Linked DNA regions of Arabidopsis thaliana. The protein of the gene in region 1 interacts with the protein of each later gene in a pairwise test. Each region holds a gene or a part of one and is shown on either strand. Other genes may lie near its edges.

The links. Proteins that work in one complex are often made in the same cells at the same time.
Region 2: the proteins of PCL1 (region 1) and LBD21 interact in a two-hybrid assay, tested with the Arabidopsis thaliana proteins (one large-scale study listed by BioGRID).

What each region holds. Positions count from the first base shown.
Region 1 is NC_003074.8:17,180,802-17,186,580, reverse strand, and holds PCL1 (Homeodomain-like superfamily protein), read right to left. Parts: upstream 3,512-5,779; 5' UTR 3,334-3,511; coding exon 2,460-3,333; coding exon of another isoform or gene 2,362-2,459; exon of another isoform or gene 1,695-2,361; intron 1,693-1,694; coding exon 1,592-1,692; 3' UTR 1,530-1,591; exon of another isoform or gene 1,396-1,529; 3' UTR 1,227-1,395; downstream 1-1,226. Other genes in the region: AT3G46650 (UDP-Glycosyltransferase superfamily protein), read left to right, coding at 801-1,020; AT3G46630 (DCL protein (DUF3223)), read left to right, coding at 4,235-4,572, 4,970-5,084, 5,273-5,443. UniProt on the Arabidopsis thaliana protein: Transcription factor that is essential for the generation of the circadian clock oscillation. Is necessary for activation of CCA1 and LHY expression.
Region 2 is NC_003074.8:3,472,598-3,477,125, forward strand, and holds LBD21 (LOB domain-containing protein 21), read left to right. Parts: upstream 1-2,324; 5' UTR 2,325-2,438; coding exon 2,439-2,936; 3' UTR 2,937-3,251; downstream 3,252-4,528. Other genes in the region: RLP35 (receptor like protein 35), read left to right, coding at 1-715; AT3G11100 (sequence-specific DNA binding transcription factor), read right to left, coding at 3,893-3,906, 3,988-4,528.

The DNA of each region.
Region 1 (5,779 bases):
AAGTGTTTGGAGAATAGGGTTTCAGGTGGAAGGTAAAGTGGATAGAGGAGAGGTTGAGAGAGCTGTGAAGAGGTTGATCGTGGATGACGAAGGTGCGGGGATGCGAGAGAGAGCCCTTGTTCTGAAAGAGAAGATCAAAGCCTCTGTCAGTAGTGGAGGCGCCTCATACAACGCATTGGAAGATATTGTCAATTACTTGAAGACAAAGCAAAGATGTTGAACTTCATGTAATATTAATTGAATTGTTGCAAAATTTGCAAAGTGTGGTTTCTTTTGTATCACTCTTGGCAGTTTGCTCAATATAGAATTGTTGCATCACAATAAACATCTTTTCTTTTGTCTTTGATTACTACTCTCTCTAACAAAATAAAGAGATGTAACTACTTGCGTACACCATCGACCACATGCTTCACATGTGCGCAAAGAGAGCTAACAAAACATTATACGGATGAATTAGTGTCCACAAGCGAGAATCTGATATTTATATATATAAAACGTTCAAAGAAGATGAGAAGCAGAGTAATCTATAAGCCCGGAGCTTAGAGAGCTACTTATTAGTTTTCTTGTAGGTTTTGGAAATGGAGGAAAAGCAGGTTTCTTAGTAACAGTAGCTTCCGCCCTATAAACAAGTAGAAAACATATGTATCAACTACATTGTGAAAAGGGCTCCACAGAAGGAAGTACTTGCTCATCCTGCAATAGGGGCGTTTTGGAGCCATAAAGGATGCAACTCGATACTAGAAAACATGATCAGCGAAGGAGTTCCGGTGATTTGCAGGCCATTTTCGGGTGAACGCAAGGTACTTGGAGTGTGTTTGGAAAATTGGGATTCAAGTGGAGGGTGATCTAGAAAGAGGAGCGGTCGAGAGAGCTGTGAAGAGGTTAACGGTTTTCGAAGAAGGAGAGGAAATGAGAAAGAGAGCCGTCACTTTGAAGGAGGAGCTGAGAGCCTCTGTTAGAGGTGGAGGTTCTTTACACAACTCGCTAAAGGAGTTTGAACACTTCATGATGACTCTATGAAGACAATTACTTGTGTGGATGTTAAGAAATCTATGTACTTTTCTATTCTAGAAGAATCTCGCTACTATTAAATAAGATAATCAAGGTCTGAAGATAAGGTTGTCACTGAATGTATGATGTGCAGAGAAACAATCATATATTAATGAAAATTATGAACATATATTGGAGATGAAAAGGTCTTGAAATTATTATCTAAATCTCAAAGTAGAACCCTAAGTGGCTGAAACCTATGTCAGCAAGAAACATTGGAAAGACTTTTGCTTTTGTTAAAATGTCACTTTCTTCCTTTTGTTGGACGTTCATTGGTATGTGGCTCTCCAATCACTCGTAAGGTCATCATATGAGGAATACTTGATTGTATTAAAATGGCTTCTTCTGAAACATTTGATTGGTTTATAAATTTTTAAAATAAAGTTTGTGTCTGACGCCATCTCTCACAGAAATAAACAATTCACTCTCTTGATTACCACTTTAAGAAGTCTGCAGACAAATAAAACAAAGGGACTTACCTCTTACAAGATAGAAAAATGAGTATATGAAATTTGTCTGCAGTCTTCTCTTGGTTTAGCTTCTACATGATACTTTGTATGATCCTCTCCTGAACAGATGCAATTTGGGACTTTGCGGTGGAAAACTCCGCAAAAGATAAGAAATTTTGTAGACACCAAGAACCTGTAACAACAATCAAATATGATCAAGACCTGCAAAAGATGCAGAACCCAAACATAAAAGAGAAACTGCTCATTCTACCTAAAAGCTTGCACAGGTAATATCTTGTCTAGATCAAAAAACATCACAAGACTTTCCCAATGAGGAAACCAAAACCAAAATAACATGACACTATCACTTCTGCAAAAAGAGTACACAAGAAAATGTCGAGCCACATGACACATATGCTCTCTTGGATTTGACATAACTCACAGTGTTAGTTACCTAGTCCCGAAGAGAAAATTAAACACATGGTTTTCAAAACCACCATATAATTCCGAAGATGAATCAAACATGATCTGGATTACATTAAGTCTCAAGTCACATGAGAGCAATTTTGATACTTAATTCTCAATAACATTTCAACATAGCACAAGAATCTCAAAATCAAATTCAACTTAGTTGATTATATTAACTCTGTCAACATCACCAAACAAGTGATTATTAAGACTTTATTGTATACCATTTATAGTAAAAGACAGAAACTTGATGAAAATTTCGATCAAATCGAGTAAGAATTATAACTGTACTGTACTTAAAAAAACAGAAACTTGACAATAATTATCAGTTCCACGAGCAATAACAAGCTCACCTATCTCTTCCTCCCCCATTGAATCCATCTATAGACTCTTTTTAATTCTCATTTGCGCTTCCACCTCCAACAGAAGGATAAGAAGCCATGGATCCAAACTTATTCTGCTGCATCATATAAGGATTTGACTCAAACGCACCATTTCCACCAGCTCCATGATGATGACGATGATTCTGATGATAAGGATCATGATTATGATTTTGATGATGATATCCTTGCATACCCATATGATGTGCATAAACTGGCATCTGCATCATCTGTTGCGTTCCATACGCCCCCGGAATCGGCACTCCAACATTACCGCTGCTACCGCCACCGCCACCGATATCTTGGAAGCTCTGTGGAGGAACAGGTGTTGAAGAGAAGAGCTTATCCGAAGCAGAGGGACCTTCATTAGTCAATCCCTGCATCCTTTTGAGGTAAAGCCTATACTTTTGAAGATGAGACGCAACGTTCTCACGAGTTAATCCTTCAACGTTCATCAGCTGCATAATCGTCTTCGGAACAGCGTTTTTGATCCCTAAGTGAGCTACAACGTCAACGAATCTCTTGTGTAGCTGCGGTGTCCACACTAAACGCGGTCGTTTAAGTGTTTTCCCAGATAGATCTTCAGTTCCTGAATCTCCTTCTTCCGCCGCCATCGCCGAATCCGGATCCACACCGCCACCGTCATCTCCATCACCGTTTGATGTCTTTTGCTTCTTCGAATCCGATCCAGGACTGCTAGATCCAACTCGATCTTCCTCCTCCACGTTATTATTCGACGACGAGGTATTTGGACCTGAAGATCCACCACGTAGCGACGAGAGCGTCGTCTCCGATGCACGATTCACATCCTGAATCGTACGGCTTCTCTCCGGTGTGATACTAAACGCCATCGCCAAATTCGGTGGAATCAGAGAGTAAGAAAGAGATGCTAGATCTTCGTCGCTTGGTAATCCCATCTCCCATTCAGAAACCCTATCTCCGTCGCCGGAAACATCGTAATCGCTCATTTGTACTTCCTCTCCCATTTCAAACTCTCTAATTTCTCGAAATTCAGTTAGAGATTGAGCTCTTCGAAGCTCAAAATCGATAAAAATTCAAATCTGAGATCGGAGAAGAAGAGAAGTTTGGTTTGTGAAGATGATGAGCAAACAATTTTTTTTTTTTTTTTTTTCAGAAGTGAAACAATTTCGAAAAAGAGAAGATTATCACTTGTTTTATATTTTTCTTTTCCAGGAAAAAGCGCAATATTTTAATTCCAACGTGGACGAGTTAGCTAGATATTTTAGATCTTCTAAATATCTTTTCAAACCGACCTAACCAATCTCTTTTCAACACGTCATCAGTTCACATTATGTATCAATAGTTACGATCTAGGTGATTGAAATTGAAATTACCAAACTAGGCACGTAAGATGGAGCCACGTGGAGTGAAAAGAGCCAAGTCAGCTATTTGTGAGGGTTTTTCAGTAAATTACTACCGACTTAGCAAGTTGTGTTTGCGGGCCTAGAGAGAAAGTGGGCAAAACCGGTGGGTTCGGCCAGCTGGAGAGTGAAAAGAGGAGAAAGATTCGGTGATGAGTATCTACAGTACTGACACGCAATGTGATCTTTCCACCGTTGGATTGTTGTTTTAGATATTTATAGAAGCATATAAAGATCAATCTAACGGCACAGATTGGCTGGCACCTAACTTTTAAGAAAATGAAAATAATTATTGTGGAAAGGCTCAGAGAGGTTTAGTTACTCTGTTTAGCTTCTTCAACGTCACGGGTTCGATGCCCCAACTTCACAAACTGACGAAACGTTATCTTCTTCTCAAATTTCTGATTCTCTGAGATTTCCCCAATTTTTCATCTTCTTCGAGTGATTAGTACAGATTAGGGTTTTATTCGTTATTATTGTCTATATTACTCCTTGATTGTGGTCGATGACCTCGCTACTTCTTCTCAGAACGCTTCCGCTTCTCCGCAACGGATTTCTCAACCATCGTCATCAAGTTGGTATCGTAGCTGGTGGAATTCTCAGTCACCGTCGGCGTTTGTTGTGTTCTCTTGCTGATAGACCACAGTTTTACGAGAATAATGATTCTGTTTCTCCGGTGGAGGGATCCGGCGCGGCGGCGATGAACGTGACATCGCCTGTTGTTGATAATAGCTGGCGTTATGAAGATCCTGATTATCGGAAATGGAAGAATCTAGAGGCTGAGATTCTTCGAGATATTGAACCTATTTCTCTTCTCGCTAAAGAAATTCTTCATTCCGATAGGTAATTTCTTCAAATTCTTGCTGATTGTTCTTCAATAGCTGTTCCATGTTTGGATTAGTATTGAAGGTATAGGCTCATAGCTTCTTCCAGTAGCTTAATCAAACAACATAGAGACACCATATGGCCTTTTGAGGTGACTATTACACATGATGATATTCTTGGCTTATTGTTGAGGATCCTTTAGCAATGGATGATAGGATTATAGTGGTCATTGCAGAAAGTGAGAGATGCTCTTGTATATATCTTCAGTTTACTTGAACATTAGGCAAATTACAACTTTTTTCTAGTGAACTATTGACATTTGAAGCTAGCTTCAGAGCATACTTGCTGTTTTCTTTGTGTAGATTACTTTTTGCAGTTCTAGTGAGCTGTTTTTTTTTTCCTTTTTGGTAAGCAGGTATTTGGATGGAGAACGCTTAGATTTTGAGGATGAGAAAATTGTCATGGAAAAGCTTCTTCCTTATCACCCATATTCCAAAGACAAAATTGGTTGTGGTCTTGATTTTATAATGGTACGTAAATTCGAGCTAACCCGATATCTCTCTCTTTAAGCTCTACTCATATAGAAATTATCTTGAGGTATTGTGCATAGTTCTCGAATCACCATGATAGATATATGACTTACTTACATGCTCTATCCATAAATCTTCATTTGCTTTATGTGCATGGACTTATGAGTGTGCTACTTTGTTACTGGCAGGTTGATCGGCATCCACAATTCAGGCACTCAAGATGCCTCTTTGTTGTGAGAACAGATGGTGGATGGATAGATTTCTCGTACCAAAAGTGTCTTCGAGCCTATGTTCGAGATAAGTACCCGTCTCACGCTGAGAGGTTTATTCGTGAACATTTTAAGCGTGCTAGTAGCTAAAAATCTGTATAACTGTCCCACTCATCATCACAGCAAATTCTCATAAATTTTTAGCTGAAATAACACAATCAGCTATGAAGCTTTGTTGTACAAAATTTATAAATTGCTCAATCTATTGGAAGACTTGAATGAGTTAGGAAAATAGTAGTTGGTTCAGACTGCAGAACAATCAATTTTTGAGACCGAAAGTAATTCTAGTTATGGAATACAATATTTGCATGTTGTAAAATCTTTTTAGCTGAAACTTCGAACATCCTTTGCAAGTAAAAATATTGTCACTTCAAACTTTCGAAGTAGCTAGAGAATTTCCAAAGTCTAAACTGTCAGAGAGCAAAG
Region 2 (4,528 bases), about 14 Mb from region 1:
CTTTGTGAAGTGGAGTGCTATGTCATCACTTGGAAAAAACGAAGACCAGTCTAACGAAAAGTACATGGGATCAGGCCTTTACTACCAAGATTCAATGGTTTTGATGAATAAAGGTTTAGCGATGGAGCTGGTACGTATTCTAACAATCTACACAGCACTCGACTTTTCCGGAAACAAATTTGAAGGAGAGATTCCAAAGTCCATTGGTCTATTGAAAGAGCTTCTCGTGCTCAACTTGTCAAACAATGCTTTTGGTGGCCACATCCCATCATCTATGGGGAACCTGACAGCTCTCGAGTCATTGGACGTTTCCCAGAACAAGCTTACAGGAGAGATTCCACAAGAGCTAGGGGACCTTTCGTTCCTTGCGTATATGAACTTCTCTCATAACCAGCTTGCAGGCCTAGTACCAGGAGGTACGCAGTTTCGAAGGCAAAATTGCTCTGCCTTTGAGAATAACCTGGGACTTTTTGGCCCTTCTCTTGACGAAGTCTGCAGAGATAAACATACGCCAGCATCACAACAGAATGAAACGACAGAAACAGAGGAAGAAGACGAAGAAGAGATAAGCTGGATAGCAGCCGCAATAGGATTCATACCTGGAATTGTCTTTGGATTAACGATTGGATACATATTGGTTTCCTACAAACCAGAGTGGTTCATGAACCCTTTTGGCCGAAACAATCGTCGACGCAGAAACACCACCACCCACTAGAGAGGTAATGTTCCGACTTTTGAACGAGTTTGGTAGCTTTCCATCAGAATGAATTTTATTTCTGTTTTAACAACTTATTTTCGTTGTTATAGGCTTATAACCTATCTGAATAATCTGGAAGAGGAAAGTCAAAGTAACCGGACGAACTCCTTGACGTTAACCAACCACTCTTTTAGCCATTTTCAAATCCAGATTGTTTCCGGTTTAGCTTGTGTTTTTCTCTTCTACTCTGTTTTTAGCCAACTTTGTAATTGAACAACTCTGTTTTTCGCTCTTTAGATGTACATGTAAAGTTGTTTTTTCCCGCGAGTTTGTTGTTATCATTTCTTTCCCCATTGCACTCTCGTATCTAAAAATGTATGTCTATTTGTTCGTATCAATTAAGACGCAGAAATACAGAGCAATTATAGAATTGGGGAATATTTGATCAAAAAGCCATTTTTACTGTATTTTGATAAACTAAACCTTATACATGGATATATTTGAAGTCAGTTGTGTCTGGTTCTTTATTAGACATTTATCTGCTATTTTGCAGCAGCAAGCTGTTTCATTCTCGACATTTTCAAGTAGTTTATACGAGAATGGAGAAGTGTGTTTTGATGATGAGTTTTTGGGTTTTTGGTAATGGCTTAAGGAAAGGGAGTGATTATATGCTAAGCTCTGTGAACTACTAGAAAAGTTTAGGTAAGCCTATGGGATTATAATCCATAGTGGAAAAGGAATGGAAAGCATTACATATTACGATTTAATTTATGAAATGACAAGATAAGAAGATTTAATTAAGTAAATGACAATTCTTTTTAAGTTGCTACTAGCAATTTCTTTAAACCATTACTTGTTTGTATATTTATACTCATTCACAAAGGTTAAGAGATAACAATATTATCGTTTTGTGTACTCATTATAAAGGTTAAAAGATTTAAGGTCCTTAAGATTTATGAATATTTGATTTAACAAAAGAAATTTTAAGTTTTGAGTTAAGTTTTTCTTGTTATTGGTATAAATTCACAACCAAAATGAATGATGAGTAGAAGAGGAAGCCAAAGAAAGAAGAGAAAATGGATAGTGAAGGGGACGGTGGTGATGGTGGTGGGCTTCTCATTCTCTCACTTTTCTTGTCAAATGTCTTGTCTTCTCCATTTCCACACTCCAATTTTTATATGCTACCTGTGATTTTATTTATTTTATTATTTGACTTTCTTTTGCTTAAGCTATGTATAATCTACAATAAGAACCACAAAAAGTGATATAAGCTCAGTTCTATATTGGTGCCCACTTTGTAAGAAATTTCCTCTTCAATTTGGAGCAAAGTGAAAGCTATTTTGTATTTTGCTTGATTGACTTGTTTCCACTAATCCAAAAGTCTTGCTTCTCTTGTTTCTTCTTCTATAAAAGAGAAAATTAGCTGATGTGTTGTTACTTTAACTCTCTCTATCTCTATAGTACCTTTGATTTTTCAATATATGATTATGATTTATGGACTCGAACTCACGACCAATCATGTAATTAGCAAGGAAAAGCTCAAAGCCAACACAAATGATGAATAGGCCCATGCCTTGTCCCATTTGTTTCCTTCTCTCTATTACTTTCAAAAACACTCTTCTTCACAAAAAGTTAAAAGACTCTTATCAATATATAAAGGAAGCACGAGATAAAACTTAGAAAAAACGAGAGCCTAACATTTACCACCAAAAAATCAAAACAAACAAACAAAAAGTTTGAGATGAGAGGGCATGAGCCACGATCAAGCTCATCTTGTGCAGCCTGCAAGCTCTTGAAGAGACGATGCACACCCACTTGCATTTTCGCTCCTTATTTCCGCTCAAGTGACTTGATAACTTTCGCCAAAGTCCATAAAGTCTTTGGAGCCAGCAACGTCAGTAAGCTTCTCGGTGAAGTTCCTGAAGAACAGAGACAAGAAACCGTTAACTCCTTGGCTTATGAAGCTGAGGTTCGTCTCAAGGATCCTGTTTACGGTTGCATTGGAGCCATAGCGTCTCTGCAGAAGAAGATGCTCGAGCTTCAACACGATCTAGCTGTTGCTCGCACTCGACTACTTGCCCATTCTGGGGTCAACAACAGCCAAGTGTCCCCTTTGGATGATTCTCCTGAGCTTGCTGCTTTTCTTGATCTTGTACCTTATAGTGACTTGATGTTGCTTGATGGGTCTACTAATCTTGATGCTTACTTGTATGATCTTGGACAGCCTCCTTTTGTATAGGCCTTATCTCTCTATCATATATCTCTTTATCAGCTGTATTTGCACTTTGCTTTACAAGTTATCTTTGACAATCTAAAGTCTGTCCCTAATGTATGAATTCCAGTATGCATAATCAGATGCTTACTTCATCATATGTATGAAAAAGGGTTTTAACTTCAAAAGTAACCATCACATGCGATGAGATAACTCAGGTACAAGATGAGCCTTGGAAGGTCAGAGTCCTTACCAGTTTTGGACCAAGTGGTAGGCCAAGGTGAGTAAAGTGAGGTGTTTTAGATGAAGAGCTTCTTTGTAAGTCAGGTATGAATAGGAGAGCACATGCTTATGTCATCCCGAAATTCTACCAAACATGAAACATTGATATATATGCTTCTATGATGTTCTTTTTTGAGGCTCCAATAATACAGCCTCATGTGTCAACTCGTCTCCCTCAGGCCACAAGAGTCTTGTCCTGGAGATTCCAGAGTGCAGCAAAGTCACATAAGCAAACATCCAAATCAATAGCTTGGTGGGTTTGATCAAATTCCAAACTGAATTATGAATGACTCTGATAAGAGTTCTCCTCAGAACCGTTCTACGCATCTTGTTAAGTCTGTACACATTCCTGAAACCTGCCTAAGCAAAAGAGTAATTGCAGATCACAGAAAGAGAGATGAGCACAATTTGGAACTGCAGACACTGATACACAAACCATCATACATTGATACTTCACAAAAGTACATCTTGATATGTCAGATACTATGAGAGTTCTTTTGGTAATTCGCATTGCTACTACCAATGTAACTCTACAATGCTAAAAAAGAGAATGAAAAAGAAGAAGAAGAAAAAAAGCATCGCGCTATAACTTAAGAAAACCTAAAGATCAATAATAATAACATCTTCTCCAAATCGTATGAGCTTTAGATCCAACCATTGCTCCTTGCTTCACATCAGTAACTCCTCCACAATCTACAATCCTACAACTTCTTACCTATACAACAAACAAAGCACAACTGAAGTTTCAGTAAACTCATCAATCACAACAAAACACACATAAAAATGAAAACTTTACCTGAAGCAGCTCTTCGTTTCCCAAGTTTAGATTTCTCAAGCTCCAATTGCATCTCCATCAACATATTCATTCGTTGTAACTCAAGCTCCTTTGCAACTTCCATTCTCTGTTTCTCCAATTCAATCATCATCTGTTGCTTCTTCCCCTCGATTCTCTCAAACGCTTCCCCTAACTTCAGAATCGATCTCGCTAGCTCCCTAAAGGCTGATCCTTCACTCGAATCTACATCTTCAACTTTACGATGCTTCCTCACCACAAATCCCCAATCACCCGCATCATCATCATCTTCTTCGTCGTCATCATCATCATCATCATCGTCATCGAGAGAGCTACCAGTTGATTTAGATCCAGTAGGATTCAAATTAGGGTTCATCAACGCCGATTTAACAACAGCACCGGACGATTTCTTCATAACCGGACCGATTAAGAAATCGAGTCTATCAAAGAAGCACCAATTCGATAAAGGTTTCGCCTTTTCAGTTTTGTACTTCTTCTTCAACGTATCGATCCGGTTTTTGCACTGTACATCGGTCTTTGGCCG